Lonchura striata: one gene and its partner. The protein of the gene in region 2 interacts with the protein of the main gene of each other region in a pairwise test. Links are inferred from orthologs where the notes say so. Each region holds a gene or a part of one and is shown on either strand. Other genes may lie near its edges.

Region 1 (16,266 bases), on a different chromosome or scaffold from region 2:
CTGAAGTGCCAAAACAAGAGACTGCATCTATTTCTTCCCTGACATTACAGCAACCCTTTGTCCCAGTTACTGAATATCTGTAGCCTTGTTAGATGTCTAAACCCTAACCTGTCAGATGTCTAAACCATAACTGACTCTTGAGTTTTACTGCCTCTACCCTATGGCTGTATTAATATCGTTTGTGGCACTTCTTCCAATTACCAAGACAGACTGAAGCACAGCAATCTGTTATAATGGTGGCTATCAACTGATTATAACAGTGGTATACAAACTTTAGCTCGGGACATAGGACTATCCCTCTAACTAAAAAATATCAGTCACAAATAATCTATCATCAAATAAAGAAAATAAAATTTTAAATCCAATATTTGGGCTACAGACAACATTTTCATTGATCTACTATTCCCTAAAAACTCCAAAGACCATTAAGAATGAAGACAGCAAGTGGCACTGGCCCAGTCTGTTGGGATTTTATAGTACCATATATGCTCTATTTTTCAGGGGTTATCTATGTTCAGATTTTTGGAAATCACCACAATGATGTTCAACAAACATGGTATCAAGGTCTTACCTAGGGAAATGGTTGACTTTCTGAACATCTGTAAGGGAACGCAGCATGCAGGGCTTCAAGTGTGATCCTGTCCACATGAGATTATAATCACTGCTATTAGGGTGAACCTAAAATGCAACATAAAAAACACCACATACAAAAACACTGAACTAATGAAAAGCAACACCACTTTGTCCCTAGATCTATAAGGCCAAAGCAACTCTAGTCTAAGAGTCTCCTCTACTATCTCTAATAGGATGGCAACTCCAGCCAAACTGCTACTCTAAGGTATTCCTATGATGGAAAATAACCATGTCAAATTTTTTAAAAAACGTTGTGAGACTTCTTTTCATAGCTGGTTTAAACACAGTTTGTAAATCAGTTTAAATCTCTTCAGGAGACTTGTCAATCAATTCCTTAAGTTGCTATTATTCTGAAAAAAATCAACCCTACACATCTCTCAAAATTGTCATTAGCTGCATACAGGACATTCTTTAGAGCAAGACAGGTGCTAGAAGAGAAGTGTCAAATACTACATCAATACTTCTGAAAGCTTGTAAAGGCTGAGAAATTAAATCCTTCAGATCTTCCCAAGGGTGTGATGTTTTAAAAGCAAAAAGAAAAGACACATGACCAAACTTAAGCATTCATTTTCCCTTATTTTTGAAGGCTTAAGACTAATGGGTTCTCCTTTGATGGAGCAAGATGACATATTTTCAGTCTGACTAGCAGAGTACATTAAAAGGCAAAACAAAAAATCTCAAGGGAGGCCACTTCCACATCAACTTCCTGGTTCTAACCCTGCAGAGTTAAAAAAACATCCACAGCAAAAAAATCCAAAACCATTTTAATCACCTCCCTGCCCAGCACAAAATCAGACAGAACTTTGTTGCATTCACCTCATGGAATCCATGGGCAGTCAGAATGCTCCGAACCAGCCGGCTGTCTGTCCGCACAATCTTATAGGACATGTGGAAGTGCTCTGTCAGGAGGCAAAGAGACACGGGATTAGAGTCTGCACCTGGAAGAATAAACCAAAGTCATGCTACCAAAGAAAAGGACTCAGACAGTACAGCTGCACTTAATTCACAGAGAGTAGCAGCATATAACAGGCAAAGGGAGATAGGAAATGCCAACATCAGCATCACTCAACTGACTTACATCAATCCTTAGCTGTAATATAGTAGTATCACAGAACCCAATCATATAAAAATAAAGCACAGGGCAACCTAAAAAATACCCACATTTTTTTTTTTTTACATTCCATTATACAGACTGCTTTATAACACTCCAAAAATTATTTCAGCTTTCTTCTCTATTCAATATTGGTATTTCTAACTAAAAGTCATCATGTCTAATGCATCTCATTGATATGGCTAGTTTATGTGATCACTTTTTAGATCCTGAAAACCCAAAATAAAAGTACTGAACTTTTGTTTACATCTCATTCACCTGTACCAATCTTCCAACAAATACAGTAAGAAAAAGTAAATAGCATAAGGAAATAAAAATTCACTATGGAAGTAGAAAGTCATAAAAACAAAGACAATAGGCAGCCCTGGAGGTATAAGATAAACCAAAAGCAAGTAAGAAGACTAGAAGTCAGTTGTAATAAAAAAGGACGTGGCAATCCAAAAAAGAGTTCAAAGACAGTAGCGAAAGAAATTGCAATGCTAGAATACAGAACTGCCTAGAAAAGGCAGTTTACAAATGTATTCAAACTGAGAATAAAAGGGTGAAAATTAAATAAAACTTCAGGAAATATGTTCTATCAACAAAAGTAAATCAAAAATCAAGTATCATAATCAGGAGCAAGACAAAGCTGGAGGAAATTCAACAAGTTGCTCTATTCAGCAAATTCCTTAAACCGTGTGAGAAAAAGCAGAAGAGACTCCACGCTGCAGTAAAAACACAAGTTACAATTACCATCAGCTTCTGGCAACATCCAAATACACTTGTAACTCACATGAAAAGAATAAGGAGTTTCCACATATAAACCACCTTCTCCACCCCTTACCCCAATGAGCCAGAAGTATTTCTGCTTGGATAGGATATTAGAAACAAAAGCTCCAATTACCTAAGAAAGGAAAAAGCAAGACAAGAAAGAAGTGTCAGCACCTTCACAAAAGGAAGCTGAATACATTTCAGCTTTTCTCCAACTCAGCACATCCAGAACAAGCCCCCAGCTGTACACACCCACAAGTACTAACTTTTCAAATCCGAAGTGACTGTTTATAACAATCCAGCCTCTTTAGAGGCTCTCCCTTACTTGACACTAGACAGGTTTGGTCTCCCAACTCAAGTGCTGCCAGGAACCATTTTGTTTATGGCCTTCTAGGGCTTGTGAGGCTGTAGACTTGGATTAGTCACTACAGCTTATTCTTGTTCAGCTGCGAGGCTGACTGTTTATTTCCCAGTGAAATGCTCTTAAAACTCACTGCAATGATTGATTTTAAGGTCTTAGCTAGGGCGAATTTGTGTTCTGGTTCTAAGTTGTAGCATGGCCTCCAAGTTCAATTTGCAAGCAGACAGCTACAACTCAAAACACATCAGGGCCCAGTGGAGGGACAGACACTATCACAAAGACATTATAAGCATTCACCAACAGATTAAGCACTTCTGAATGTCCCAGTGGTCAGAGACTAGAGAGGATTCTAATTTCCTACTATGTCCTCTTTCCACCACAAAGTGAAGGGACCATCAGTAAGAAACTTTTACCTCATGCCTTCAAGCCAAACGCTGGCACAGAGTAGCACTCACCTCCAATTAGACGGAGGTAGCTGTCCTTAGCCAGAATGGCTTCAGCATGAAATACTAAGACAGGGACCCGCCTGCAGCCACCACCTGTCCACTTGATACATGGATGACCCCTGAAATGACAAGACAGTGAGTATAAGCAACAGCTGAGCCTCATACATGCAGCAGTTAGTCACAACAATGACACAGCAATTCTCCATACTTACCCACCTAGCCTGTGGACAGGACATAAGCAAACATGCTGGCGAAAATAGTGGAAGATTAGTAAGGAGGACTGTAAACATGCCTAAATGACTTACAGCTTGGGTGTAGAAAAACACATGTGACATACTAACTGCTGTCTTTGTGTGTTTCACAAGTAGAACATCTGAAGTCAGATGGCACAGCGCTGCAACAGATTTCAAGGCACTCTATCAAACATGCTTGAGACTCCTGCCCTATGGTGGGAAAAGTCAAAGCACAGTGGTAAAATACATCTGCAAGAATCCCTAAAAAATGAGCAGCAGCTTCAGTGATTCTCTAGCAAGGACCAAGCTCCACAATGACTGCCTCTGCTTGCTGCTTTGGGGATCCCCCAGTGAGCAAGGTAACGAAAAGAAATTTACTCTTTGCATTCAAGATGCAGTTTTGTGGTGGTCCCTAAGCCCTACCTGTGCTGAATCAACACACACACATGCTAGGCATCTGTGCTGGTTCCAGACTGCACCCTGACTAGATGCCAGGCACCCACCAAAGCTGTTCCATCATTCCCTTCCACAGCTGGACAGGTGAGAAAAAATTTACCAAAAGACTCATGAGTTATGGGCAGAGAGGGATCACTCACCAATTACAGTCACAGGCAAAAGAGACTCAACTTGTGGAAATTAATTGAACTTACTACCAATGAAAATCAGAGCAGGATAATGAGAAGTACATCAAATCTTAAAAACACCTTCCCCCCACCCCTCCCTCCTTCCCAGGCTTAACTTTATTCCTGAATCTCTACCTCCTTCCCCTCAGCAGTGCAGGGAAATATGGAATGGGGGTTACAGCCAGTTCATCACATGCTCTTTCTGCCATTGCTTCCTCCTCAGGGAGAGCCCATACCCTGCTCCAGCATGGGGTCCCTCCCACAGCAGACAGTCCATCAGAAACCTCTCCAATGTGAATCCTGTCCACAGGCTACAGCTCTTCACAAACTGCTCCAGCATGCATCCCTTTCCCCAGGGTGCAGTAATTAAAGAAAAGGCTGCTCCAGCATGGGTCCCCCACAGGGTTACAAGTCCTGTCAGCAAATCTGCTCCAGAGTAGGATCCCCTCTCTCCATGGGTCTGGAGGTCCCTCCCAGGAGTCTGTTCTTGCACAGGCTTCCCGTGGGATCCCAATCTTCTTTTGAGCACACACTTGCTTCAGTGTGCAGCTCCTCCACGAGCTGTAGGTGGCTCTCTGCACCCCCACAGATATTCATGGGACTGCAGGGGCACAGCTACCTCACCATGGTCTTCACCACAGACTGCAGGGAATCCCATCTCTGGCACCTTGAGCACCTCCTTGCCCTCTGACCTCGATGGCTGCAGAGCTCTTCCTGTCACATATTCTCACTCCTCTCTTTTCTGAGCACTATTACCCCCATACAATAACTTTTTTTTCCTCTTCATAGATATGTTATCACAGTAGTGTTTCTACCATCATTCCTGGGCTCCATCTTGACCAGTGGTGGGTCCATATTGGAGCATTGTCTCTGTCAGACATGGAGGGACCTTCTAGCAACTTCTCACAGAACCCACCACCATAGCTCTCCTACTACTAAAACTGGCCACACAAATGCAATACAGCACCCTTGGTACTCAGCTATAAGGAGAATCTTCACATCACCCTCTTTTTGAGTTGGTCTTGCCAGCCCAATTTCTGTTTAATCCTGTTTAGTTCTGTATTTATTTTAATGGGTATAATTTAGGAGAGGCCTCATGAGCTTTCACAGCTACAGTTCTCTGAATTTATAGCCTGAAAATGAGATCTATAATTCATGATAAACCACAGTTGCTGGTATCCACATAACCAGACCTTGCAATGCAGATTCCAGCCTCCAATTTTAGAACTGCGGATCAGTGCAGTCAGCCTGGCTGACTGGAGTCAGAAGTACACAAAAAAGCAATAATGCAGAGTTTGAGGGACTAGAACAGACTTGGCTCAACACAATAGATAAAGCTGTGTATTCTTCCCTTTTAACTCCTGCCAGATACAGAGGAATGCATGACCAGAATTCAAGAACGATGCCCCCCAGTGCACCACTTAAGCTACAGGCTCTGAGATACAGTGATCAGTTCTGTACAAAACATGAGTTCACTGGAAAATATAATCTCCTCAGAGAAATTATAGACACACAAAAAAAAAATATTAAGACCTGTTATATCAAATTCTAGGATCACATAAAGAAAATCTGTCAACCTTCCTAAGCAAATAAAACTCAGGCTGTTTACTACCACTGCACAAGGAAATTAAAAACATGAAGAAGTTAACAGAAAACAGAGACTGAGGGGCTGGAAAGACACCTCTACACTAACAAGAAGAAATACAAAGACTGTCAGAGATATACAAAAGCATTTGTATATGAAAGATTATTGTCTGCCAAAGATTTGGAAAAGCTAGACAAAACACCTCAAACACTTAGAACAAAAGAACAGAGATAGATGGGCAACTTCCTGATGCATGGACAAGGGCTCTTAAGGGTAGCCTAGGTCCTCTTAACAAAGCTACTACCATTATCATCCAGACAAATTAACTTCACAGCACTTCTACCTGCTTCTGCTACCTCTACAAAGTATTTTTTTAAAAAACCTACAACGGGGGTGTAATTACCTATTCAGATTGGAAGGGACCCAAGAAGCTTCCAGAATTTACACTACAGGCCAGAGCCTTATGTAAGTGGAAAATGAGCTGAGGCAACAAGACAGGAGTTTATACTAAGCCTGTCCTGGGATTTGCAGCAAGGCTCAATCCTCCAGGTGACAGTCATTCATTCCTAGCATGACCCCCAGTCACCAGATGCAGACATACTCTTACAGTCACATTCCAGGTGAAGCTAGTTCTGGACCTTTCCATCCATGAGGATCCAGCAAACCTAAGCCAACCACTTGCTATGAAGCAACATTCCTCTAAATGTCTTAAGTCACTGTAGTCAGCAGCTGAGCACTCAGTCACAATGTGCATCCAAAAAAACCCTTAACAGGACACAGTGAAGTAGGTCCAGGTGAAACAAGTGATTCTGCTATGGGAAAGAATAAAAGAGCAATCCCTTCACAAGCATAGCTAAAAGAAGTTACTAAACGAAGATGGAATAAATATTAAAACTTGTTACTTGTAAGAAAAATGAAGTCTAGTAGTAATCAAAAGACTTTTATAAATCAAAAATTTTATAAAAACGGCATGAAACATCATATATCAATCTACTGTACAGCAGATTTCTAATCTCTGCAGCAGTAAAAACTAAAAAAAACCACAACCAAACAAAAAAAAAACCACAAACATCTGCCCCCAGAAAACCACACATGCCAAAAAAAAAAAAAAAAACAACCCAACAAAAAAGGAACATGTATCATCAAAACATTCCCATTTTAGGAACATGACAGAAAGAAATCCATGAAAATATGGACTTCAGAACAGCCAAGAAAAGCTGCACATCCATCCCGGATGAATGTGGTGGTCTTTTAGGCTGCAGATGTAGATAGCCTGCTCATAGGTTTAAGGCTGAAACAAATCATCTTTCACTTCATAGGCAGGAGGGTAAGGAATACATCTGTCTCTTCAAACTACTACAGATCCACCAGAAAGCACAAGGACATAGAAACAGTTCAGAGGCTTTTCCTACTTACTCCAGTGCATCTACAGCATCTTCTTCCTCCTCTGAGGATGAGCCAGTTTCCTCCAGATCTTTAGCCATCCCAACTGGCATTTCCTTTGGAAATTCTCATACAGCCCAGGCCTAGTTGCAAGAGCAGTTACCTGCAGTAAGGATTAAAAGCAGGAATGAAGAGCTGAGCAGGACAGCAAGAGGTATCAGGTAACTACCACTTCCTGCCGGTAGATATTTCTTACAATACTATCAACAAGTCTGTTAAACATCTGTGATCTGTCAAACATCACCTCGGAGCCACGAGAGTGCAGAAAGCAGCATCCCGTTCCAGCAGATCATTCCGCACCTGCCCGTGGGAGCCACTCGGGCACTCACCGCTAACGCGCGTCCCTGCCCCGCCCTGCCTCGGCCGCAGACCCACGCCAGGCCGGCCCAGCCCAACGGGAAACGCCCGCCAGGACCGCCCCGCCGCACGGGGCCAGCCGGACACCGTAACGCCTCCACCGGCGCAGGAGCGGCGCTCCGGCCCGGAGGGGCGGCTACGGCCCGGCCTGGCCCGGCCAGGCCAAGCACGGCGACCTCCGGCGGCCCCAGAAGAAGCAAGAGCGGAGGGGAGCGCCTAAGGCAGCGGGTCCCCGTGCTAGCCGTACCTGCCCGCGCTCGGCTGGCGGCGCCGGGCCGGGCGCGCACGGCAGCGCCGGCCCCTCCCGCCGCTTCCCCGTTACTACAACAACCGACGGGCGGCGCCCCGCCCCGCCGCGCAGCCGCCCCGCCGCCTCACTGCGCAGGCGCACTGGCTCCGCCCCCTGCCGGCGCGCTCACTCGCTCCCGCGAGGTGGGCGGGGACGAGGCGGGCATGATTCCCGCGCGACGAAGGATCCGATTGGCTGGGGGCGGTATTACGTAGCGTGGCGCGCGCATGGGGCGGCGCGCAGTGACCAATGGGAGCGCGGGGCGGTGGCGTGGGCGGGAGCGGCGCCGGGAGCGCGCAGGGACGCGGCCGGGCCCGGCGGGCGCGGCTCGGGTTCGAGCCGGCCGGCAGGATGAGCCGGTTCCTGAACGTGCTGCGCAGCTGGCTGGTGATGGTGTCGGTCATCGCCGCCGGGAATACCCTGCAGAGCTTCCGCGATCACGGCTTCCTCTCTGAGAAGCTGTACACCGCCAGCCCCGGCCTCGGTAAGGGCCGCGCCGGCCGCCCTGGCACCTGGAGGTGTCCTTGCAGCCATGGGCCTTGCACTGTCTTCGGAGTCCCCCTCTGGGGCCCGGCGACACTGGGGGTGGCAGGCAGGGCTCTGCGTGGTCTCCATGTGCTCCCTCCTTCTTTACACAGTGAATGGGCTCCAGGCTCGGACCTTCGGCGTCTGGACCCTGTTGTCATCAGTGATCCGCTGCCTCTGCGCAATCGACATCCGTAACAGGACGTATGTAAAGCAGCACCCGAGAAATCCATTGGTTTGCTTGCTAGACACAGCCTGAGCTTAGGGGGCGGCACAGAGGAGGTGGGGAATCAAAAGCTGTTCCTGAACTTTCTATAGCGTTGACAGCATTCCCTTAAAGAAGCTCAAATAGCAGTGTGGGATTTGTGTGGTAGCTGCTGCCCCCTTCTTCCTCTGTGGGGACAGCCTGCGCATTTGAATTCTGTTCTTAGCTCAGTCAGAAACTGGTGGATCCGAGAACCTCTTACTGTCACCAATTTCTGAGCTCCAGGTTGGAAAGCATTTTCTGAATAGCGTTGTTGCACTGTTAATTAAGCAATTGCTAATGTTGTGGTGTGACTGATGCTCAGTACTTCTTTTACTATGACAGCTCAGCTAAAGACTAGGACAGTTATAGGTGCCCCATTGCAGTGGTATTAACCAATTGCTTTCTTCCCTACACTCTTACCTGGGGCTGACAACAAGGCCTGAGGAGCAGCCTCATGCTGAGTGGGAGACACACCATTTCTCTGTGTGCTAGCAGAGGGGTTTCCAAGCAAGCTGACTTGAGGTCAGTGCTAGACAAAGCCTTTATTGGTGGTTGCTAAAATGCTTTTGTCAGTACTTTCCTCGGCCCTGCAGTAGAAGTCACTGTTCACCTGGCAGTGTGTGCTTGGATTGCCTAGGCTTATCTGAGATAGGGAGGCGCAGGGACTAAACTATATTGTTTCTAGGGGGTGATGGCAATGCCAGTTATCAAGAATCAGTTGTTTCTTTGAGGAATTTTATTTTGCATCTCTTGAACCTGCTCCCTTTTCAACAGCTGTGGCCCATAGAGGGTAGCAGAGCACCAGTGGGAAGACACTGGGTGATGCAGCCTGAATCAGAGAAGTCTTGTCACCCTAATTCTCTGCTCATCCAGTTCTTACCTTCTTTTTGTGTGTGCACATACTTCATTTCACTGGTGCCCTACTCGTGCTCTCCCCTCTTCACCTTCCTTCAGGCCAGATAATGCCTGTGACTTCCAGTGCGCCATTGAACATGCTGCCCCGTTCTCCTCTCAGCTGTTGCCCAGGGAGATTTTGCACCTCACGAGGCAAGGGACAAAGTCCCCTCTGTGCTGCCAGTGAGAGCAGACGGGGCAGCATGCAGGTTTGCCTTTTTTTCTACTCGGCCATATTCATGCCCATAGTATGATATGATAACCTTCTTTTTTCTGCTCTTCAACAGCCTCTATCACATCACACTCTTTACCTTCTTTTTGGCCCTTGCTCACTTCCTCTCTGAGGTCTTCATCTACCACACTGCCGCCTTGACAATTGGAGTTATGGCACCCCTCATGGTAGCAAGTAAGTAGAGCTCTGCATCCTCCCCCTGCATACTCTCCTTGGAACTATGATAGCCCAGAAAAACTCCTCATGCAACTATGGGCTGTGGGGATGATGGGAGGGGATGCCTCATCTCTTGCCCAGCATTTTCTACACAATTCATCCTGTATCTCCGTCACAGGTTTCTCTATTATGGGGATGTTGATTGGACTGCAATACCTGGAGGTAGAAGCGCTATCACAAAACAAGAAGAAAAACTGAAGTTGAGGGTTTTTTGTGGATCAGTGTCATCTTCTACCTTCACTGCCAGACTTCCATGAAAGCTCAGCTGAATTTCTCCAGGACACCAGTCCCGCTGGTGGGTCAGTGTCAGACTGTGTCAATCACTGTCATTACCAAGTTGTTTTTGTCTTGTCCAGGCAACATTTCAACTGACTGATGTCAAAGACCAAGTCCCAGTGGAGTTTGTGTCAAAGCTTATGGGAGACAGTTGGTGACTGACTCCCTGGGTAGCAGGCAAAAGTCTCTGGCATGCCCAGAGCTCTAAGGACTTTTGTCCCGGTGTACTTGTGGGGACAAGATGCAAGAACTATCCAGGATGTGCTGAACACTGGACCAGAGAGAATGGGTGCTACCCCTGGCATTGCCGTGTAACTTGCATGTGTGTGTTCCCCAGGGGCCATTTCTAATAAATGACCAAAAACTGCAGTGGGCTATGTTTGTCTTTCTGCTACACAGCAGTGGGTAGAAGATCAGAGCCAACAGCACCTTCCACTGTATGTTGCAGAATACATCATCTCTCTTTACAGCAAACCTACCTTTCCCTGACTCCTTGCCACAAAGTTCCAGGTCTGACTGCTCACATAACACACATGAAGAGGGTTGTTGACGCTCTCTGCAGCATGCTGGTGACAGCAAACTCAAACTATGAATCTGTGAGTGAGGACTGAGGACTGTATAGCAAGTTATAACTACAAAAAATGGAAAAAACAGGAACAGGTTCCTCAGACCTAGATCAAATTATGCCCAAAACAGTGGGGAGTACACAGAATGCAGAAAAAAACCCAGCAAGAATTCCTAGCTGGGAAGGCAATTGATGTGCAGAAGAAAGAGGAAGCAAATAGAGAGAAAGAACACAGTAGTAGCACTAGGCAGAAAGATGATTTTTCCGTTTTGTAGAACATTTCAGGCTATTAAATGAGCCACATGTAGACTGTTTTTTTAATCATTTAATATGAATATGCCAGGTTTCACTGTACACTTCAAATGTTTATATTTTACATTAGAATTTCTATGGAAATCATTCTAAAACCCCATCCTCAATCCCAGACTATCAAAGATAAGACTTTAATGATAGAATATGCTGAATTTGAAAAAAATTTATCAAGATCACAGTCCAACTCCTGGCCTTGCACAGGACCTGTAAGAATCACACCATGAGCCTGAGAGTATTGTGTAAGCATTTACTGAACTCAGGCTGTATCAAAAAATGTTAAAATTTCATTTAAAAATGTTTTGTCAAAAATAGTTTGTCAGAGATGAATATTTTTAACCATTCCACCTCAGTACAGCTTTTGTCCCCTGACTCAAGTAATATAAGGACACTTGATGTCTCCAGCAGGGGTGGGATGCTGGAAAGGATGGAGAAGTGATAAAAGGATCTACAGTTGTGTTTGGAAGATAAACAGCATACTGATGGGCAGTGTCTGTAAGACACAAATGCTGGTAAGTAGGCACCTTCTCCTGTTCTCTATTAGGAAGTGAGAAGCTTCCACACTGGAGCAAAGCTGGATTCCCATCATACCCCTCTCTGTGGCTGTGAAGAGCAATACACCCTTGGCTGCTTTTCTCAATGTAACACTTCACAAAAGTTTCTGTGTAAGGTTGAAACACGCAAAAGGCACTTTGTTGTTAAGGAGGAAGACACAGTCCTCATCCCAGGGAAATAGTGGTTTGACTCATTTCTGTTGCTAATGTAGTGATGAGCTAGATTTAGGTTTCAGAACCAGTCCTTGCCTCAAGCTAGAAGGAGGCATGTAGTATCTCTTAATTATTATATCTTAATCATGCTGAATTCCGAGTAGAAGTTTATCCAGATGAAGAGTGCTTCATCTGGGAAAGCCAAATAATAAAAGAAGAGCTGGCAGCAGCTGGTGCACTGCTTTGCACTTGCTGGTAATATACTGAGACCTCTACTACTACCTGTGCAACACAGAGCATCATGGGAACCAAGGAAGAGCAATCCCTTTTCCCTAGAGCCAGCTTTTCCAGGGATGCTTACAGAGTTAAGTGTGGTCCAGCTTCTGCCTTTCATGTCGCAGCCACATGCAAGGTGCCACCATCATGCTCAGGGTTAGCCTGGTACTGTGACTTTTCCTCTCAGCACATATGCTTTTTCCAAGCATACATGGTAGGGCTGGGGAAGCATAGCATTTTCCCAACTTCTTCTCCCAAACACCAGAACAGCGTGATGCAAGGACAAAACTGACAAAAGCAACCCCCCTCTTGTTTTGCTCTTTAACACTCTCCACAAGCAGTTCACAGGGTTTCTGTCCTGAGGCTGCTCCCCTCCCGTGGCATGCATGTGACAGGAGGATGGTGCAGGTATAGGAGGAGAGGAATGAGGGGGGCTGTATCTCCCAGCTTTGCCACCCCTTCATTTCACAGCCGTGATTCCTCAAGGACTATAGTATAGGCTTCTGGCAACACTTTCTGCAAGTCAGAGAAAAACAATATGGTTAGGATCCTGGCTGGCCAGACCCTGGCTTCAGAGACATCAGCTGGCCAGAGCCTGGGTAGTTCATAGCTCCCTGCTACTACAGAAATCCCCAAAGAAGAATCACCATCCTCAGAGAGTGCTGCTGGTTCCCTCTTCCTTCTCTACCAACTCTGACTGCCCAAGAAGGGGCACTGGGGCAGCAGGGCAGTGCAACATCCCACTGTTTAAGCTACTTGCTGTAGTCCTCAGACCATTACGAATTCACTGCGGGGCTGATACCACTGGAGGTATCAGACTCACAGCCAGCTCACCAACATTTGACTGTGACACAAGGTCAGCCTCAAAGCATGAAGTTGCAGGGCTAGTTCCCTGGGGGAGGGAAGGTGCTGGGAACTCCTTCATGCCATGAGGCAGCACGGTGTCTGTGCAAACACCAGAGAGAACTTGCTTTCTTTACATCCTCAGGAGGCTCAGAACAACCACTAGTTCCCCTGTGTTCTTACTCCAGCATGTTTGAGGCCTCTTCAACTCCCAGACACATTGCTTATCTTGCTCATCTTCCAAATCTTTTCATTCCCACTCCCACTGCCCACTGAAGTGCTGGCACCCTCTGTCCTGCTTCTTCCCTTTCCCCAGCTTGGATTTATGGCTGAGATAATTCCACTGAGTGGTGCCTTCTTCAAAGTTCACTACTTATATCTTAAAGAGACATAAGAAATAAGAGGTAAACATACCTAAGTTTTTTTCTCCACAAATCATATGGAAGAACTAGCCTGATTTCTTGGAACCTTAAGATGGAGGGAGCTTTTCCCCAGAGGAAAAGCAAGGAAAATGGAGATTGTTGCCCAATTACTACCATATCCTCAGCTTCATGGAACAGCCAAACTGTTCTAATTCCAGTTCAGCTTTCCTAGATGGAGTTTGACAAGCTCAGTTTCTGAGCCTTTCTGGAGTGTATTAGGATTAAACTTGAGACTTTTTCTTCCCCTTTTGGAAAGCATACTTCTCAAGTTCTAATTCTCCTTACAGGGAGACAGCCCAGCTGTCACCAATTCAGAAGACAGGACTCAGACTTGTAAAGGTGTATAGGTCCCCTGCAGCCTGGGCTCTGAGTTTACTCACTGTAAGGCAAGACTGACATCTGAGGCAGAAATCAGAGGTGCACAGGAAATAGGTTCACACCCCCAGTGCAGTTCAAGAGAAATCCAGGCAGCATGGAAGGAAGAGATATGAAACAGTCTCATTTTGAGTAGGCTCTTACACAATCTGTAGGTGAAAAGGTTTTGCAGAAGTCAGCTGCAATATCCCAAAGCAGAGGAGTGAGATAAGGAAAGCTTCAAAGACATGTCTGAAAGCAAAAGCCAGGAAGTGCAAAGAGGGAACTTGAACAAGCAGGAAGGGTAGGGGATGCCTGAAGTAGTGCCAGAGATAGGAATAAGGGGAAATATGCATTTAGACTACAGAAACTCCACCAGAATACACCATGGAAGCACTCAAGCAACTCAGAACAGGCTTCCCAAGCACATCTGGGGTCTCAGCACCACTCATCTGCTGTGGAGCTATGGGAGCAGAGATTTAGACTAGACAGTCTGCAGGGCTCCACTACCTTGGGAAAGGAAAGCTGCTCTCACAGCTGAGTCACAGTACTGGAAAAGGGCACGCAGATGGCCTGCCTATGGCTTTGGTACAGGAGAAGGCCGCTTACCACACAGTAAACAGAGAAATGAGTAGGGCACTTTGGAAAGCAAAGAATGAGTTCACATTATTTGTGCCTACTACACAAAATTCCAGCTTTTTTTTATTGGCAGTATTTCACTAGAGGCTAAGCATGGTGCAGCTTTCACTAGAATCCAGTAAGCTACTGAGGGTGGACACTTGTCCTAAACAAACTATGGAAGATCAGCAAAGATGCTTTTTCTTAATGCAAAGAAACAATACAAAAAGGTTTGCATGGATGCTGCAAATCACAAGCAGTACACAGCATATTCATGAGTATAATGTGTGTGGTGAATCAGCTGACACTACTATGAAATCTTAAGGCACAACACTTCAGATGCATTTACAACAAGGGCAGCACACAAAGAGCCTCATTATCACATAAAACAGGTGTTTGATCCAAGTGTCCTGAGATACAGAAAGCTAAGCCAGCTGGAGCTCTGGGAACTGAGGCAGACAAAAGTGAGGAGGATTGTTGGGACCACATTACAGCTTAATTAATAGAGGACAAGGTGTACACAATGCCGTTAGGCTAATTTAATCTACTAACTGCAACAGTTGTTTAATTATAACCATAGCAGATGAGGGCGCCAATAGAAGACAAACTGCTACACAGCCAATGGTACAATGCTTCAGTGGAAAGTGAGATCTGCACAACTCTACAGCTCTGGAAGCTCACAACTGACTCTGAGTCTTCTCCTTGCAACAGCCACAGCATTGTTTAGGCTGGAGAAAACCCTTAAGATCACCGAGTCCAACCATTTAACCAGCACTGCCAAGTCCACCACTAAACCATGTCCCTAAAAACCACATCTACATGTCTTTTAAATACCTCCAGGGTTGGTCATTCTATAATTTCCCTAAGCAGCCTGTTCCAATGCTTTACAACCTTTTTGGTGAAGAAATTTTCCTAATACCCAATCTAAATCTCCCATGGTGTAACTTGAGGTTGTTTCTTCTTGTCCTGTCACCTGTTACTTGGGAGAGGAGACTGACCCCCAACTCACTATGACTTCCTTTCAGGTTGCTGTAGACAGCAAAAAGGTCTCCCTTGAGCCTCCTTTTTTCCAGGCTAAACAACCCTAGCTCCTTCAGGTGCTCTTCACAGGACTTGTGCTCCAAACCCTTCACCAGCTCTGCTATCCTTCTCTGGATATGCCCCAATACCTCCATGTCCTTTTTGTAGTGAGGGGCCCAAAACTGGACACAGGACTTGAGATGCAGCCTCACCTAGTACAGGTGGACAAACCCTTCTCTAGTTCTGCTGGCCATACTATTTCAGACATAAGCCAGGATGCCACTGGCCCTTTTGGCTACCTGGACACACACTGGCTTATGTTCAGTGGCTGCTGGCCAGCACTCCTAGGTCTTTTTCCAGTGTGCAACTTTCCAGCTGCTCTTATCCAAGCCTGTAGCACTGCAGGACTCAGCACTCACCTTGTTGAACCTCATAAAATGATCTCAACCTGTGGATCCAACCTATCCAGCTCCCTCTGCAAACCCTTCCAACCTTTCAACAATACTCCTGCCCAACTTGGTGCTTGGTCTGCAAACTGACTAAGAGTGAAATCAATCTCTTCATGCAGGTCATTGACAAAGGCATTAAAAAGGACTGTCCCAATACTAAGCCTTGGGGCACAGTGCTGGTGAGCTGATGCCAGCTGGATATAACTCCATTTACCAACACTCTCTGCCCATGGGACTCTTCCTGATATTTCCATCAAAGCATAGAAGCTTCATGCTCCCTGTAGAACATACCCTAATCTTAGGAGAGTTAAGGCTGGAGTTTGCAATCAACTTGCTCTGCATGTTAGTCCTGTTGGCTGTGGCACTAAATGATACACACAGTCTATCACACCTTGAAAAGCAAGGGGTAGCATGGATAAATTAGTAGATCAGCCTGTCGGTGTGAAACAGAGGACAGTGAGTAGCAAAGCATTACCATCCCA
Region 2 (16,345 bases):
TTTAAATAAATAACTTAATTCAGCTGTGGCTTTTTCTACAGCAGAACATGCCCAGGGTGACTTCTGGAAAAGTCTGCTGGGATTTTCCTGCACACAAACATGGATTAATTTTCCTTTAAAAAGCATCAAAAGCCCCACGTGACTTTTAAAAGTGATCATTTGCTAACAGAAATACGATTTTGATACTGGTATTGATGTAAAACATGATTTTATTGCCATTGCTGAGAACAGAGGGATTTTTTTGAGAAGCCTCTTCTGAGCCAAAATTCAAATTCACCATCAAGGAGCAAAGGGAAGCAGAATCCCTGTTTTCGGGAGGATCAAACCAGGGCTGGAAGTGCCTTGGCAAAGCCTCTGGGGCTGTTTGCAGGGATTGGCTGTGGGTGAACACACCACACCAGGTCTGGGCCAGATCAAAGCTGGGCTCCCTCCTCACCCCTCCAGCAACAGCCACTGCAGCACCTGAGGAAGAGCACGGGGAGGAAGGCAAGGATGGATCTGATGGGAGGAGGGGGTGGTGCCAGTGGAGCAGAGTGAAGAGCATCCCGTGGTGGGGGGTGTCCTGCCAGAAGAGGGGAATGGAAATTTCCATTCTGGGAACGATCCATAAATCATCCCTTATGATTTGGAATTGGGCCCCATCTCATTGAATATTCCCATAACAGCCTTTCCAAGGAAATCCTGCTGGGGCTGATATCGGTGGGGCAATGCTGGAGACCCTGCTGGGATTCACTCTGGGATTGCAGAATCTGGGGCAGAGCAAGTGAAATGGGGTTAAATCAATGGCTGAAAGAGCAAAGTTCACCCAAAGGCCAGCCCAAATTCCTTTTCCAGGCTGAGGACCATGACCAGGTCCTGAGAGGGCAGAGGGAAGGGGTGGGAGGGGTTTGGAGGGTCTGGAGTGATGCAGCCACGAGAAAGGGATGTGAGAAGCAAGTGATGGAGATGAGAAGGAATTCCTCCCTGTGAGGGTGGGAAGGTGCTGGAATGGAATTCCCAGAGTAGCTGTGGCTGCCCCTGGATCCCTGGAAGTGCCTAAGGCCAAGTCGGATGGGATTTGGAGCAGCCTGGGATAGTGGGAGGTGTCCCTGCCCACGGCAGGGGTGGGACTGGGTGGGGTCTGAGGTCCCTTCCATCCAACCTATTCCATGATTCTGATTCTTCACACCTGGAGCACGCTGGGTGTGAAATCTTTCCTTTGTGTGTTCCAGGTGATCTGAGCGTCAAGGGGATCTGAGGGGAACAAGACCAGACGAAAGAAGGGAAAACCGGGGAGAGAGAGGAAGGACAACCAGGACAACCCTGGCCCAACAATAAGGTGGGTATAAGTTTGGGCTGTAACCTGGGTTTGCTGTTTCACAGGAGAGACAATTTGCACGTGCACCCCAGTGGGGCCTGCAGGGACTCATGGCCATGCTCCCAGTCCCATCTTCCCGGGAAATCCCCTGTGGGAGCACCTCTGTGTCCCGTGGCGGGTGGGAAATGGCACTTTGGTCCCTTTCACAGCAGAACCTGTCATGTGTGACACTCATGGCTCAGTGCTCCTGCTCCTGCTCCTGCATGTGAGCCAAGAGCCGAGCGGGGACCCGAGACGGGAGCAGAGCGCAGCAGCAATGAGGCATCGGGTGGCAACCTCCACACCCAGGGTAATGAACACTCCTCAGGCTCCTCGGAGCTCTCTGGGAGGGAGCAGCCTCAGCCAAGCTCCGTGTCCTGCGAGGGGGACGTGGAAGAGGGCATCCTGGGGAGCTCCCTTGTTCCTGCGGGGTCGGGATTTACTGGCTGTCCCCCAGAGCAGAAACCCCCCGGGCATGGGCAGAGCTGGGGACAGGAGGTGGGTGGGACAGCACAGCATCTCCCCGGGAGAGGAGTCAACTTCAGTGCCCCAGGAGAAACGAAGGGACAGAGGAGAGGGGTGAGATGCTCCTCTGGACGAGCACTGGAGCCATGCCAGAGGTTTCCAGCTCCTCTCTCGGCCCAGGGAGAGGTTTGGCTACACCTTCTCAGACATCCCCCTGGGCAGGGTCTGGGGAGAGTGCAGCTCCACGGACTGGCGCCGCCGGGCCTCGCGCTCGGCCCAGTCCTGCTCGGGCTCGCAGCCCTTGAGGATGGCCAAGCGCTCCGAGAAGGTTTTGGCCTGCGGGAACAGGACGTAGTTGTAGAGGATGGAAGCTGCTGCAGCCCCAATCAGGGGACCTACCCAGAACACCTGGAGAGGAGAGAAAAGTGGGGTGAGCAAAACCCAGCCTGACTTTGGAAGAACTGGGATCTCCGAGGGGCATTCCAGGGGCTTGGGTTCCTTCCTGGGAACAAAACACGAACTCAGCTCTGCTTTGGCCATCGCTGGGGATCTGAGCTCCCCACCACTGCCGGGATATTCCAAACCGTCCTCTTCTACCATTCCCCCTCTGCTCAGACTGCATTAACGACAGGCCCATTGTGAACGTGCTGAGTGATGTGGCATCATCTGGAGGAGCATTTTCCTACCCACTCATGGGTTGCTGTTGGAGGAGGAGCAGGAAGAGGAGGAGGTGGAGGCACTGCCTGGGCCAGACACCTTGGAACACATCAGGAACCACCTTCTGCCTCCAGCCAGGCTCTTTATAGATGAAACCAATGAAATCATGGAATCTCCTGAGCTGGAAAGGACCCACAAGGATCCTCAAAATCCAGCTTCTGGCCCTGCTCAGGAAAGCCACCACCAACCCCACCCTGTGCCTGAGAGCACTGCCAAAATGCTCCTGGAGCTCCGGCAGGCTCAGAGCCATGACCATTCCCTGGGGAGCCAGGGGTTGTTCCCAAAGGCGTACCTAGATCCAGGAACCAGGAAAGTTCCCCAGGACTGGCAGCAGCTCCACTCTCCATTGCTTTTGTTCCCTGTGCTAAGTCACGTCAACAGACCTTACACCCTGATCCTGTTGCAATGCTCCCAGTTTGGAAAAGCCAATTAAACACCCAGCAGCCCCACCTCTTTCTCCTAATCTCTCCTTCTCTCCTCCAGCTGGGAGCTGGCATGGAAATGCCTGGAATTTGTCTGGCTTGCTGAGTTTCAAGGAATATTGGCAGTTTGGGGGACTCATCCAACACAACTCCCAGAGCCGAATTCTCACCCAGTGGTCGCTGAAGTCTCCAACGACGACCGCAGGGGCGAAGGACCTGGCGGGATTCATGGAGCAGCCGGTGTAGCGGATCTGCCGGGAACACCATGGCTGCTGTCAGCTTAAGCCCTTTTGCCTCATTTGTAAAAAATTTGGGGTGTCATTAGGGTGACAGCTGAGCTGCTGCTTCACCCTTCAGCATTCCTGTTCCGGGAAAAGGGATCCCAGGAGCTGCCACCACCTGAGTCAGCACTGTGAGGTGTTGCTGTGCTGCAGCCCCAGGAGCTGTGGGGATGAGCTCCCAGTCCTGCAGAAAATTCCCTCTCGTGCCTCTGAGGACAGGAGAGGAAGGGTCCCATGGATGCAGGGGCTCGTGGAGCGCTGAGGATGGAAGGTGTGGTGAGACCAGCAGCGCTTTCCCGCGTGCACTGGGAGTGGGGCTGCTTTGGGCCGTCACGCAGGTGGGATTCCCCCGAGCATCCATCCCAAACACTTCCCAGGCTCATCCTGCACTTGAGAGCCCCAGCGGCCAACTCGTTCGCTCCAGGAGAGATCCCACAGATCCCTGGAACTCCCCATGGGACTCAAGGAGAGGCAGGGTCCAGAAAATCAAGTTTTTCATGCCAAATAAAGGCTGAGCTCAGGCCATAGCTCCCCCATGGCTTTGGTGGGATTTTTCCCTCTCTCTACTGGAAAACCACGGGTTTCATATTCCCTGCCAAGCCTGGAGATGCAGCCAAACCAACTTGGGGCATAAACCAAAAAAGAACCCCAAAAATGCCAAGTTTTGGCCTATCCACTCACCCCGAGGAGGTGCCCCACAGCCACAGAGAGGCCAATGGAGAGGGCAGGGGAGCCCAGGTTGTCCTCACGCCGCTCGTCTGTGGAAGCAAAGATGCACAGGACCAGCTGGAAGGTGAGGAACAGCTCCACCGTCACCGCCTGCCCCGTCGTGGTCTCATTGTGCAGCTGGAATGGGAGGAAAAACATGTTCCAAGGCTGAGTTCTGTGAGTGGATGGGAAATATGGAGGAGGAATCCAAAATCAGGGGGAGCCAAAGGAGACAGGGGAGATTTTTGGCACCAATAAGAAAATACTTCCCAGGTAGAAGTGGCTCAATGGGAAATGCTTGATTGACCTCTCAGGATATTTTATTGGTAATTTTTTTGTATTTTTCTTTTTTTTTTTCTTTTCCTCCTACTCGAAATGCCTTTTGGAAAAGTTTACAAGTTGCATTTTGAAGACATTGAAAATAAATATTTTTGCATGAGAAAAAAAAAAAAATTCCCTTTGCACACTTTTTTGACTCAGAGAATTTGTCAGGTCTGATCTGGGGCTGATCCTAGTGGCACCCCCTCTCCTCCAACTCAGTCCCTTCTTTCCCCGTGTCCCCCAAATCTAATCCCATTGCTTGGCGGTCCCAGGAAGGTCCTGCCCCAGCTCCAGAGTCAGATCTTCCTCATTCTCCTGCCCAGTATTCCCCTCCCTTTTTACAGGGGTAATCTGTGCAGGCAGCCACACGATGAACAGCTCACAGGGGATAAAAGCCTGCTCAAAATCCCCGGTTCCCACTTTTGGGTGGTTTAAGCTGTAAACCAACAAAGCTGAGCAGTCTGAGTCTCCCTTAAACCTCCCGCTTTTATTACCCTCAGTCATTACCAGTCTAAATCGCTTCATTCAGAGTAAACCACAAATCCCTCTTTTTAACCCTCTTAATCACTCTGGCAGCGCAGCTGAGTCCTGGCAGTGCCTCCCTGCTGTGGGAAAGGTGATTTCCATGTGCTGCTTCCCAACCCAGCTCCCTTGGGGTTGGGTGATGCTGATCCTGGCAGGTGCCTGTGCCCCGCTGGGGTGGGACAGTGAATCCCTGGGTTTCAATTCCTTTTCCCCCTCCTGTGGGGAAGGGGGTGTTGGAGGCCAGGATACCATTGGAGAATCCCCCATGGCTTCCTAAGCTTCCCTGGCTTTATTTTTTTCCTTGTCTGAAACCAGCCTGAGGTCCTTGTGAAGCTCTGGGGAATCCATGTATTGGGTTTTGGGATGAACCAGCTGGATTTGGTGCGATCATTCCTCCACGGTGGGAGGCAACAAGCTGAATCTAATGAAAATCTGGGATGTAGACCCAAATCCCTCCTCTGCCCACCACTTCAGCAACCTGGGAACTGTGGCTTGGCCAAAACAGAGCCAGGGAAAGGCTGCATGTACCCCCACCAGAGGGGAAATTGCACGAGCCTGGGACAGAGGAATGCAGAGGTGGTGTTTTGGATGTCTCCTTCCTTAAACCCCTGGGAGCCCCAGAATCCAAGTCCCCTGAGTACAGTCCTGGGGAAAAATGAGAAATGAGATGGTTGTGACTCCAAGGGGTGTGTCTGTGACCAGATGGATCCTTCCTCTGGCTTTAGCCCCAAACACAGGAGATGTTTTTGGCACCAATATGAAAAGAGCAAAAATTTCCCAGGTGGAAGAAGTGGCTCAGTGGGAAATAGCTGATGGACCTCAGGAAATTTTAGCCCTAAAACTAGAGGAGGAAGATGAGTCCTGCCTTCATCCCTGCTCCTGGCAGCACTGTTGGAGCAGCAGGGTCCAGCAGGTACTGAGCTGTGGCATTCAGAGGCTTCCTCACCTGGAATTCTGGGAATTTTTCAGGAATTTTGGGAATTCTGGGATCCCTGGCAGGAGATTTTGGGGAGCTGAGGGGGTTTTTAGGGATTTTTTGGGTGGATTTGGAATGAAATTCCCACAGAATACCCCCGATTTTGGGCCTCTCCCGGTTGTCTGAGGAAAATTCCCAGTGGGAATTTTAGGGAATTCCGGGATCCCCAGCTGGAGGTTTCGGGGCAGCTGAGGGGGTTTCTGGGGCTGGCCACAAGCCCCTTCCTCCCACCCCTCGGGTTCCCAAAGACCCTGCCCGTGTCCCCCCGCCTGCCAAGCCCACCCGGCGCCGCAGGCTGACCTTGTTGAGGGCCAGCCCCTCGCGGGCGTCGGGCGGCGTGACCTCGTGCAGGATGGCAGCGCCCACCACGCCGCCCAGCAGCTGCGCCGCCACGTAGAAGAGGGCGCGGAGCAGGGAGAGCTGCGAGCCCAGCAGGCAGCCCAGGGTCACGGCGGGGTTGATGTGGGCGCCGCTGACGTGGCCCAGGGCCTGCACCAGCGTCCCGATGGCCAAGCCGAAGGCCAGCGCGATCTGCAGGGTGCTCGGGGCCGGCGCCGAGGGCCAGTTCAGGGCAGAGCCGAGGCCGAAGAGGACGAAGACCAAAGTGGCCAGGAATTCCGCAAGGACGGCCCTGGTGAAGGCGATGGAGCGCAGTTCCCACATCATGGAGGCTCCTGGGAACGATCCTGCCCACAGCGTCCTCAGTGCCCACCTCCTGCTGTGTCCCTGAGGGTCACCCGGGACAACATTTATATACCTGGAGGCGGGAGGGCCACAGGATCAGCTGCTGAAGGGGATGGGATCATGGTCCTGGGAAATATGATGCTTTTTTCCTTCTGTGTTCCAGCTGAGGGCACATCAGATCCTGCCCCGTCTATGAGAGCCGGGGAATGCGGCGCTCGCCGCCCTGGGGAGGTCGCAGATCAGCCTCCAGCAGTGCTGGCAAGGACTGCTCCTTTTCTCCTGGGCTTCCTTACCTGGGATCGATCCCCAGAGCTGCTCTTGCAGCTGGGAACATGCAAAGGGCAGGAAGCAATGGGGGATCTGCAGAGCTGGAGCTGAGCTCAGGTTGTGCTGAAAATCAGTCAGTGGGCTGTGATTTAACAACCAGAAAAATCCAGGAACGTGGAGGGATTCCTGGGGGTGTCCTGTGCGGGGACAGGAGTTGGATTCAATGATCCTTGAGGGTGCCTTCCAACCAAGGATGTTCCATGATTCCATGAAAAGTGAGTGCAAGGGAGGCACAAAAGGGGTTCACTACAGCTCAGCTGCTCATAGCACCAGAATTTTACAGCCTGGGCACAGATTTCCTACCCAGAAAATTGGGAATCAATCCCAAAGCAGACTGTCAGAAATTCCCATGTGAAAATGTGACCCCAGGACTGGAGCACCAACTGTGCCCCAATTATGGCCATTTTGGCCAACTCTGCTCTTCATAAACATCCTTTTAGTTCTCGGTGTCAATCCCAGAGTGAGAATTTCTTTTCTGGGGTTTGATTCTTCCCATCTGCTCCTTGCCCAAGAAGTTTCTTTTCCCTTTTCTCCATTTCCCATTCCTGAAGGATATCTGCAAAACCTTTTCCTCGCCTTGTCATTGGGGTTGGTGGCTTTACTGGAAATTGAGGAGCTGGTTTTTCCTCTCCAGGGCCAGCTCTGAGGTGTGATCACTCCTCCAGCTGTAGCTGGAAGGACCGTTTTATCCCAGAGGGATACAGAGCCCCAGGACCAAGTGTCCACGTTTGGGCTCTAACAAAGGCTCTTGCTCTACAATAAACTGAGTATTTTTCCCTTCCAGAGGAGTTGTGCAAGTGCCATGGGGCTAATGGCAAATGTTCCACATTGGTGGGATTATATCATGGAATGATGGGGTATCCCAGGAGCTCCCAGGTGGAGCAGAGGATGGACATATGTCCCTTCCAATGGAACCGTTGTTCTCGTCTTCCTCCTTCTCCCTTCTTGTCTCCCTTCCTTCCTCCTCCACTTTCCCCTTCTCATTTTCTTTCTCCTCCTCTCTTTTTTTCCCTTTCCCCTTCTTTTCTCCCTTCCTCCTTCCCCTCTCCCTCTCCCTCTCCCTCTCCCTCTCCCTCTCCCTCTCCCTCTTTTTTTCTCTAAACAATGGTTTTAGGGAACATGGCTCTTAACAAGTGAGGGACTGTGGGAAAAACAAGTCCAGCCCATGGCTGAGTCTGAACAAGGTGGGACTGTGGTCTAATAAAACCTTTTCCTCTGAAAATCCTCCCCTTGGACTGTGTCCCGCCCCAGCATCTCTCCAGACAGAGCTTTTCCAGCAGTGGAGTCAGTCTCGTAAAACAGGCTTGGAGGCTAAAGGGATTTGGGTGCTGCTGAGCACCACGATCACGGTCCTGGCCAGGCTCGTGCTCCACATGCCTGGCACAGGGCTCAGCCCTTCTCAGGGCAGGAGTTACTCAGGGCTGCAATTACTGCAGGGAGGATGGAGATCAAATCTGGGTAATTACTGGAGCTCATACCCTGCCTGATTAGTGGTTACTCGTGAGGAGCGTGGGGATATCTCAGTGCTCAGGACTAATTAAAAAGAAGAAGTCAGCAGGATTAGTTCTGAGCAACTTAGAAGTCCAACCCCATGGTCCTGACTTTTGTCTGGAAATGCAAAACTCATGGCAGCTTGTTTGTACTGAGCTTGGAGATGCTGGTGCTGAAACTGGAGATGTTTGTTTTGAGCTTGGAGCTGTCTGTGCCATGGGGGAGGGTTCCTGTGGTGCTGGACTGTGGGGAAAGGGTCAGAGCTGCATTTCGAGACTGGCTGTCATGGTGTCAATGGCATTTGCTGGGAGATGGTGTTTTCCAGCAAGAACAGCCCATCCCAGCTTTCCCCAGAGACCCCCAGCACTGTAATTCCACTGGTTTTACAGAGGAATCCATCCACTGCACAAAAGCAGATCCTGCTGACTCCAGACACTGAGCCAGTGGCAGAGCCAAGGTTTCCTGGCTGTGCCACAGTTGGGCACTACCCCAGAAAAATGGGAGATGCCACAAGCTGGAGGGTTGGGAATGGGCTGTTGAATCTGTTCTGTCTAGGAGGGGGTCCTGGAGCTACTGGAGATGATGGAAATGTGGCTTTCCACCTCACCCCAGGTGTGCTGCTGCTTTGGGAGCAGCCAGGAGCATTCCAGCCCTGGAGGGAGTCCAACGAGTTTGGGAAAGTGCATTATTTTACCTGTTAGCCCCAGCCCCTGGAGTGTGACGGTGTTATCAGCCCTCCCTGGGACCAAGTGCAAATTTAATGATCTTGGAGGAGCAGGTTGGCATCTGCAGAAGGTTGGAACCCATGTGGGTGCCTCATGCTGGTGCCCTGTGTTGGAGCCCCACGTTGATGTCTTATGTTCGGAGCCGCATGTTTGCAACACCATGTGGATGCCCTGTGCTGGTGCCTCATGTTTAAACCCTGTGTTGGTCCCTCATCTTCATGTCCTGTGTTGGAACCCCATGTTTGGAACCCTGCATTTGTGTCCCATGTTGGTGCCCCATGTTGGTGCCATGTTTGGAACCCCATGTTTGGAACCCTGTATTTGTGCCCTGTGTTGGTGCCCATGTTTGGAACCCCATGTTAGTGCCCGTGTTCCAGCCCATGGATTCCTTGTGTTCATGTTCCACATTGGAACTCCATGCTGGAACATCATGTTTGGAACCCCTTGATGGTGCCCTGTGTGGATCCCTGAGCTGGTGCCTCATGGTGGTGCTTGTGTTGGTGCTTCATGTTGGAACCCTGTGTTTGGAACCCCGTGCTGGTGTCCAGTGTTTGGAGCCCTGTGTGGGTGCCCATATTTGGAACTCTGTCTTTGTAATGGTCTGTTGGTACCCTCTGTTTGAACCCCATGTTGGTGCCTCATGTTTGGAGCCTCATTTTGGTGTCTCATGTTGGAACCCTGTGTTGGAACCCCATGTGGGTTCGCTGTGTTTGGAAGCCCATGACTGGAACTCTGTGTTGGCGTACCATGCTGCATCGCCGTGTTTGGAACCCCATGCTGGTGCCTCCGGCTGGTGCCCCATGCTGGTGCCCAGTGTTTGGAGCCCCATGTTGGTGGCTCATGTTTGGAACCCCGTGTTTGGAGCCCTGCGTTGGTTCCCTGTATTTGAGCCCCATGTTGGTGTCTGTGTTTAGAACCCACTGTTTGGAGCCCGATGTTGATGGCCTGTGTTTGGAACCCCATGTTTGGAGCCCTTTGTGGGTTCCTTGTGTTTGGAATCTGGTGATGTCCATGTTTGAATCCTGTGCTGGTGTCTGTGTTTGGAACCCCGTGTTTGAGCCCTTTGTGGGTTGCCTGTGTTTGGAATCTGGTGTTGGTGTCTGTGTTTGAGCCCCGTGTTGGTGTCCGTGTTTGGAATCCTGTGTTTAAGCCCTGTGTTTGGAGCCCTGTGTACTGAACCCTGTGTTTGAGCCCTGTGTTTGAGCCCCATGTTTGGAACCCCTTGTTGATGCCCTGTGTTGGTGTTTGGATCCCCATGTTGGTGTCCATGTTTGAGCCCTGTGTTTGAGCCCCATGTTTGGAACCCCTTGTTGATGCCCTGTGTTGGTGTTTGGATCCCCATGTTGGTGTCCATGTTTGAGCTCCAAGTTTGGAGCCCTGTGTTTGGAACCCCGTCTTTGAGCCCCGTGTTGGTGTCCTTGTTTGGAGCCCTGTGTTTGGAACCCCGTGTTTGAGTCCCATGTTGGTGTCCATGTTTGAGCCCCATGTTTGGAGCCCTGTGTTTGGAACCCTGTGTTTGGGACCCCGTGTTTGAGTCCCATGTTGGTGTCCATGTTTGAGGCCCATGTTTGGAGCCCTGTGTTTGGAACCCTGTGTTTGGAACCCCGTGTTTGAGTCCCATGTTGGTGTCCATGTTTGAGCCCCATGTTTGGAACCCTGTGTTTGGAACCCCATGTTTGAGCCCCATGTTGGTGTCTCTGTTTGGAACCCCATGTTTGGAGCCCTGTGTTTGGAACCCCGTGTTTGAGCCCCATGTTGGTGTCTCTGTTTGGAACCCCATGTTTGGAGCCCTGTGTTTGGAGCCCTTTGTGGGTTTTCTGTGTTTAGAATCTGGTGTTGGTGTCCATGTTTGGGTTCTGTGTTGATGTCTGTGTTTAAGCCCTGTGTTTGGAACCCCATGTTTGAGCCCCATGTTTGGAGCCCTGTGTTTGGAATCCCATGTTTGAGCCCCGTGTTGGTGTCCATATTTGAGCCCCATGTTTGGAGCCCTGTGTTTGGGACCCCGTGTTGGTGTCCATGTGTGAACCCCATGTTTGGAGCCCTGTGTTTGGAGCCCTGTGTTTGGAGCCCTGTGTTTGGGACCCCGTGTTTGAGCCCCGTGTTGGTGTCTGTGTTTGGAACCCCATGTTTGGAGTCCTGTGTTTGGAATCCCATGTTTGGAACCCCGTGTTTGAGCCCCGTGTTGGTGTCCATGTTTGGAGCCCTGTGTTTGGAACCCCACGTTTGAGCCCCGTGTTGGTGTCCATGTGTGAACCCCATGTTTGGAGCCCTGTGTTTGGAGCCCTTTGTGGGTTTTCTGTGTTTAGAATCTGGTGTTGGTGTCCATGTTTGAGTCCTGTGTTGATGTCCGTGTTTAAGCCCTGTGTTTAGAACCCCATGTTTGAGCCCCATGTTTGGAGCTCTGTGTTTGGAATCCCGTGTTTGAGCCTCTTGTTGGTGTCCATGTTTGGAGCCCTGTGTTTGGAATCCCATGTTTGAGCCCCGTGTTTGAGCCCCGTGTTGGTGTCCTTGTTTGGAGCCCTGTGTTTGGAATCCCACGTTTGAGCCCCGTGTTGGTGTCCATGTGTGAACCCCATGTTTGGAGCCCTGTGTTTGGAACCCTGTGTTTGGAATCCCATGTTTGAGCCCCGTGTTGGTGTCCATGTGTGAACCCCATGTTTGGAGCCCTGTGTTTGGAACCCTGTGTTTGGAATCCCATGTTTGAGCCCCGTGTTGGTGTCTGTGTTTGGAACCCCATGTTTGGAGCCCTGTGTTTGGAACCCTGTGTTTGAGCCTCTTGTTGGTGTCCATGATTGGAGCCCTGTGTTTGGAGCCCTGTGTTTGGAATCCCACGTTTGAGCCCCGTGTTGGTGTCTGTGTTTGGAACCCTGTGTTTGAGCCTCTTGTTGGTGTCCATGTTTGGAGCCCTGTGTTTGGAGCCCTGTGTTTGGAATCCCATGTTTGAGCCCCATGCTGGTGCAGCAGGAAAGGTCCCGGTGCCACGTTTCCAAGGTGCCGTATTTTGAAGAACGTTTTGCAAGCAGGGAACGGTTCTTGCACAACCAGGAGCTCCTCCAGTGCTTTAGATGGCCCTGATATCTCTGCTCCCCTGGCTTCCAGGAAAGTATAAACATCCTGAGGTATCTCCATTCCATCTGAAATACCTCGGAGCCACAAAAACACTTATTGCATAAACAAAGCACATTTTCCTGCTTGGATCCGACCTGTCACAGGAGTCCCATGCGCTACCCAGACCCTGCTGGAAATCCCATTTTTTGCTCTTTTCTGGGAGCAGGGAGCACCTGCAGGCGACTCCCACTCCTCTAAAATAGCCTATGGGACAACCTGAACTGCTGCTTCCCATGGCAGCAAACGTCCTTTTCACTGGACACTGGAGAATCCACCACTGGAATAAGGCTTAGGAGAAAATTTTGTACAAACTTGAATGGTTTTGGTTCTGTTGTTCCTTGAAATGCAAGATTTCTGTCTCACAAAGAAGGGGAAAAACTGAAATGTGTAAAACTGGAATAGGTAAAACTGGAATGGGCAAAACTGAAATCCTGTCTTGGAGAGTTCTTCAAAAGCAGCCTTTAAAAGAAAAAAGTTAAATTTTTGTATTGTGACAAATGCTGTTCTTGGTTGAGGTTCTCTGTTGGCAGCTTGGAAGAAGGATGTGCCTGAGCATTTGGTGCCACCCTGCTCCCCAGCAGAGTGTGGGGAATGGCAGCCGTGGGCTTGGGAAGCAGATGGAATGAAGGAATGGACTCACCTGTCTTGGGACCAGCAGGGGCAGAAACCCTTGGCCTGGCTTCCATCCGGGAATTGGAGCAGCAGCAGCAGTTGGGCTCCAGGGATCTTTGCACCCTGGAAGTCCTGATCGTGGTAGGATCCCCAGACAGGAGGGGCTGTGGGCTGTGAGTGGGGGTCCCTCAGCAGGGACAGGGCCAAACAGGACCCTCACTGTGGGAGGGAGTCTCTGCTGGGTTTTTCCAGGATTTGGCTCCTGTTGCCTGATTCCAGACTGGTTTGGGTTGGAAAGGGTATTAAAAACCATTGAATTCCAACCCTCTGCCATGGGCAGGAACACGTCCCACTATCCCAGGCTGCTCCAAGCCCTGTCCAGCCTGGCCTTGGCCACTGCCAGGGATGGGGCAGCCACAGCTGCTCTGGGAAACACATCCCAGGGTCTCCCCACCCTCACAGGGAGAATTCCATCCCAATCTCCCATCCAGCCCTGCCCTCTGGCAGTGGGAAGCCATTCCCTGTGTCCTGTCCCTCCATCCCTTGTCCCAAGCCCCTCTCCAGCAGGGAGCTGTGGCAGTGAGAGAGGGGTTTAAGGTCCCTTTTGGTGACCATCAGGAGAAGGGATTTTCTCCCACTGCCGAAGGACATTCACCCAGGGGAGCAAAGTAGGGAAAAATCCCCACCTTCTCTGCCTTTCAGGCCGAGTCCTAAATCCCTTTTTGCACAGAGCTTCTGTTGGCTCTGGCTATGTTTGTTGTTCCTTAGGGAGGCACATGGATTATTGCAGCCCCGATTCCCTCCAGTGCCTCCCAAAGGGACCTTGGGTGCGGGCCAGGAGCAGAACCCGCCTGAGAGGCTTTGCTGGGTTTCTTTATCCCATCTCAAGGACTTGCAAGTTCAGTCCTGAATGTTTGGCTGGGCTTTAGTGGAAGCAGACAGCAAGACTGGTGCTGCCAGAGCCAGGCTGTGGATCCTGCTGGGATCAGACATTGCCATGGGTGTGGAGACCACGGAGCCTTTTGGCCCAGCAGGAATCATGGAACAGTTTGGGTTGGAAAGCACTTTAAAGCCATCCTGTCCCACCCCTGCCATGGCAGAGACACTTCCCGCTATCCCAGGTTGCTCCAAGCCCCATCCAACTTGACCTTGGACACTTCCAGAGATAAGACAGCCACAACTTCTCTGGGATTTGGCCATTCCCAACATCCCATGACATGAGAGATGGAAGCTGGGACCTCCCTTCAGTCCCACCTAAGGGATGGCAGAGAGGAGAACATTCTTCCCATGTTTGGGTGCTGAAGTTCAGGCCAGGGCACATAAACATTTACAGGAAAATAATGAATGCTTTTCTCTCCAATCCATGAAACAACTCCAGCCAGACTCCAGGACACCCAGCAAGGAGCAGATTCCCAAGTGATGGAGCCCCCATGGCCCTGCTGGGTGCCTGGCAGGAATGTGATGTCGGTGAGGAGCAGGGAGGGTGGGACACGACCCTGGTGACAGAGCCGGGCAGGAGAGCTCGGCTGGGCTGCACAGGGGTTTGATTGCACAAACAAACTCCTCAGAGAGCCCCAGTGCTGCGGGTGGGACTGGGGAGTGGCTGTGACACGGTGCAGTGACACCGAGCAGTGACACGGAGCAGTGCCACAGGGCAGTGCCACGGGCAGTGCCAGGCTGAGCTCAGCTTTCCTCATTCTATGTAAATCTCAGTAATCCGGGGCCATGGGCTGGAAGGGAATGAGCTCTGGAAGAGGCCAGCTCCAGGTGATCCCCGAGTTAAAAAAGAAAATGAAAACCAGTGTTAGACACTGCTGGGAATTGGTCCTGGTGGTGGCTCTAGGAATGATGTCCTGTGTCCCCTGACACCTGCAGCCTCTTTTCCCTGTCCCCTCCAGCCTTGGGGGTCCAAGGTTCTCATTCTCATTCCCTGTCCCCTCCTGTCCTGTCCCCTGCACATTATCCCTGTGCTAGTGCCTTTCCTGGGGAGCTGCTCCTGGTGAGGAGGTGCAGGGATGGGCAGGGAAAGAAGAGGGTTATTTCCAGAAATCCCTCTAAAAACCAGCTGGGATTGAGGCAGAAAGAAAAAGGTTTTTGGCTTCTCTCACCTGAGCCCAAGGTCAGTCCATGGCCCTTGTAGCAGGGCAGGGAACTTTGGGGTCCACAGGGATAAAAAGCAAGGATACTTTTCAGGCTGAGATGCAGCAGTCAGAGGAAGCCGGAGGAAACGTTGGACTGCACCAAATACCTCCTGGCCTTTACATGAAACATTTTCAAATAAATTCCTGAGCAAGAAGCTGCTCCTGCCTCTGCTTTGGGGGAGTGTGGAACTGGGAGCTGGGGGTGGAGCTGGGATCTGCATGTGGAGCCAGGATCTGGATATGGAGCTGGGATCTAGGTGTGGAGTTGGAATCTAGGTGTTGGAATTGAGATCTGTGTGTGGATTTGGGGCTGGAATCTCAGTATGGAGCTGAGGTCTTTGCATAGAGCTAGGATCTGGGCACTGAGCTGGGATCTGGGCACTGAGCTGGGATCTGAACTTGGATCTGGGCACTGAGCTGGGATCTGGGCACTGAGCTGGGATCTGGTTACTGAGCTGGGATCTGGGCACGGAGCTGGGATCTGGGCATTGAGGTGGGATCTGAGCACGGAGCTGGGATCTGGGCATTGAGGTGGGATCTGGGCACTGAGCTGGGATCTGGGCACAGAGCTGGGATCTGGGCACAGAGCTGGGATCTGGGCACGGAGCTGGGATCTGAGCACTGAGCTGGGATCTGAGCACTGAGCTGGGATCTGGGCACGGAGCTGGGATCTGGGCACGGAGCTGGGATCTGAGCACGGAGCTGGGATCTGGGCACGGAGCTGGGATCTGGGCGTGGAGCTGGGATCTGGGCGTGGAGCTGGGATCTGGGTGTGGAGCTGGGATCTGGGTACTGAGCTGGGATCTGAGCACTGAGCTGGGATCTGGGCACGGAGCTGGGATCTGGGCACTGAGCTGGGATCTGGGCACCGAGCTGGGATCTGGGCACCGAGCTGGGATCTGGGCACGGAGCTGGGATCTGGGCGTGGAGCTGGGATCTGGGTGTGGAGCTGGGATCTGAGCACGGAGCTGGGATCTGGGCACGGAGCTGGGATCTGGGCACGGAGCTGGGATCTGGGCGTGGAGCTGGGATCTGGGTGTGGAGCTGGGATCTGGGTACTGAGCTGGGATCTGGGCACCGAGCTGGGATCTGGGCACCGAGCTGGGATCTGGGTACTGAGCTGGGATCTGGGCATTGAGGTGGGATCTGGGCACGGAGCTGGGATCTGGGCACGGAGCTGGGATCTGAGCACGGAGCTGGGATCTGGGCACGGAGCTGGGATCTGAGCACGGAGCTGGGATCTGAGCACGGAGCTGGGATCTGGGCACGGAGCTGGGATCTGAGCACGGAGCTGGGATCTGGGCACTGAGCTGGGATCTGGGCACGGAGCTGGGATCTGGGCACGGAGCTGGGATCTGAGCACTGAGCTGGGATCTGGGCACTGAGCTGGGATCTGGGCACTGAGCTGGGATCTGGGTGTGGAGCTGGGATCTGGGCACTGAGCTGGGATCTGGGTACTGAGCTGGGATCTGGGCACTGAGCTGGGATCTGGGTGTGGAGCTGGGA

Evidence for each region.
Region 1: the proteins of AQP2 (region 2) and ERG28 interact in binary tests that used the Homo sapiens proteins (3 or more experiments, as listed by UniProt). The link is inferred for Lonchura striata from reciprocal best matches to the Homo sapiens genes AQP2 and ERG28.

The regions. Positions count from the first base shown.
Region 1 is NC_134608.1:22,975,582-22,991,847, forward strand, and holds ERG28 (ergosterol biosynthetic protein 28 homolog), read left to right. Parts: upstream 1-8,106; 5' UTR 8,107-8,182; coding exon 8,183-8,315; intron 8,316-8,469; coding exon 8,470-8,560; intron 8,561-9,784; coding exon 9,785-9,903; intron 9,904-10,063; coding exon 10,064-10,143; 3' UTR 10,144-10,590; downstream 10,591-16,266. Other genes in the region: tubulin polyglutamylase TTLL5, read right to left, coding at 572-678, 1,450-1,532, 3,311-3,420, 7,159-7,238; choline/ethanolamine transporter FLVCR2, read right to left, coding at 12,544-12,594.
Region 2 is NC_134629.1:4,965,490-4,981,834, reverse strand, and holds AQP2 (aquaporin-2), read right to left. Parts: upstream 6,418-16,345; coding exon 6,052-6,417; intron 4,068-6,051; coding exon 3,903-4,067; intron 3,192-3,902; coding exon 3,111-3,191; intron 2,210-3,110; coding exon 1,994-2,209; downstream 1-1,993. UniProt on the Homo sapiens protein: Forms a water-specific channel that provides the plasma membranes of renal collecting duct with high permeability to water, thereby permitting water to move in the direction of an osmotic gradient. Plays an essential role in renal water homeostasis.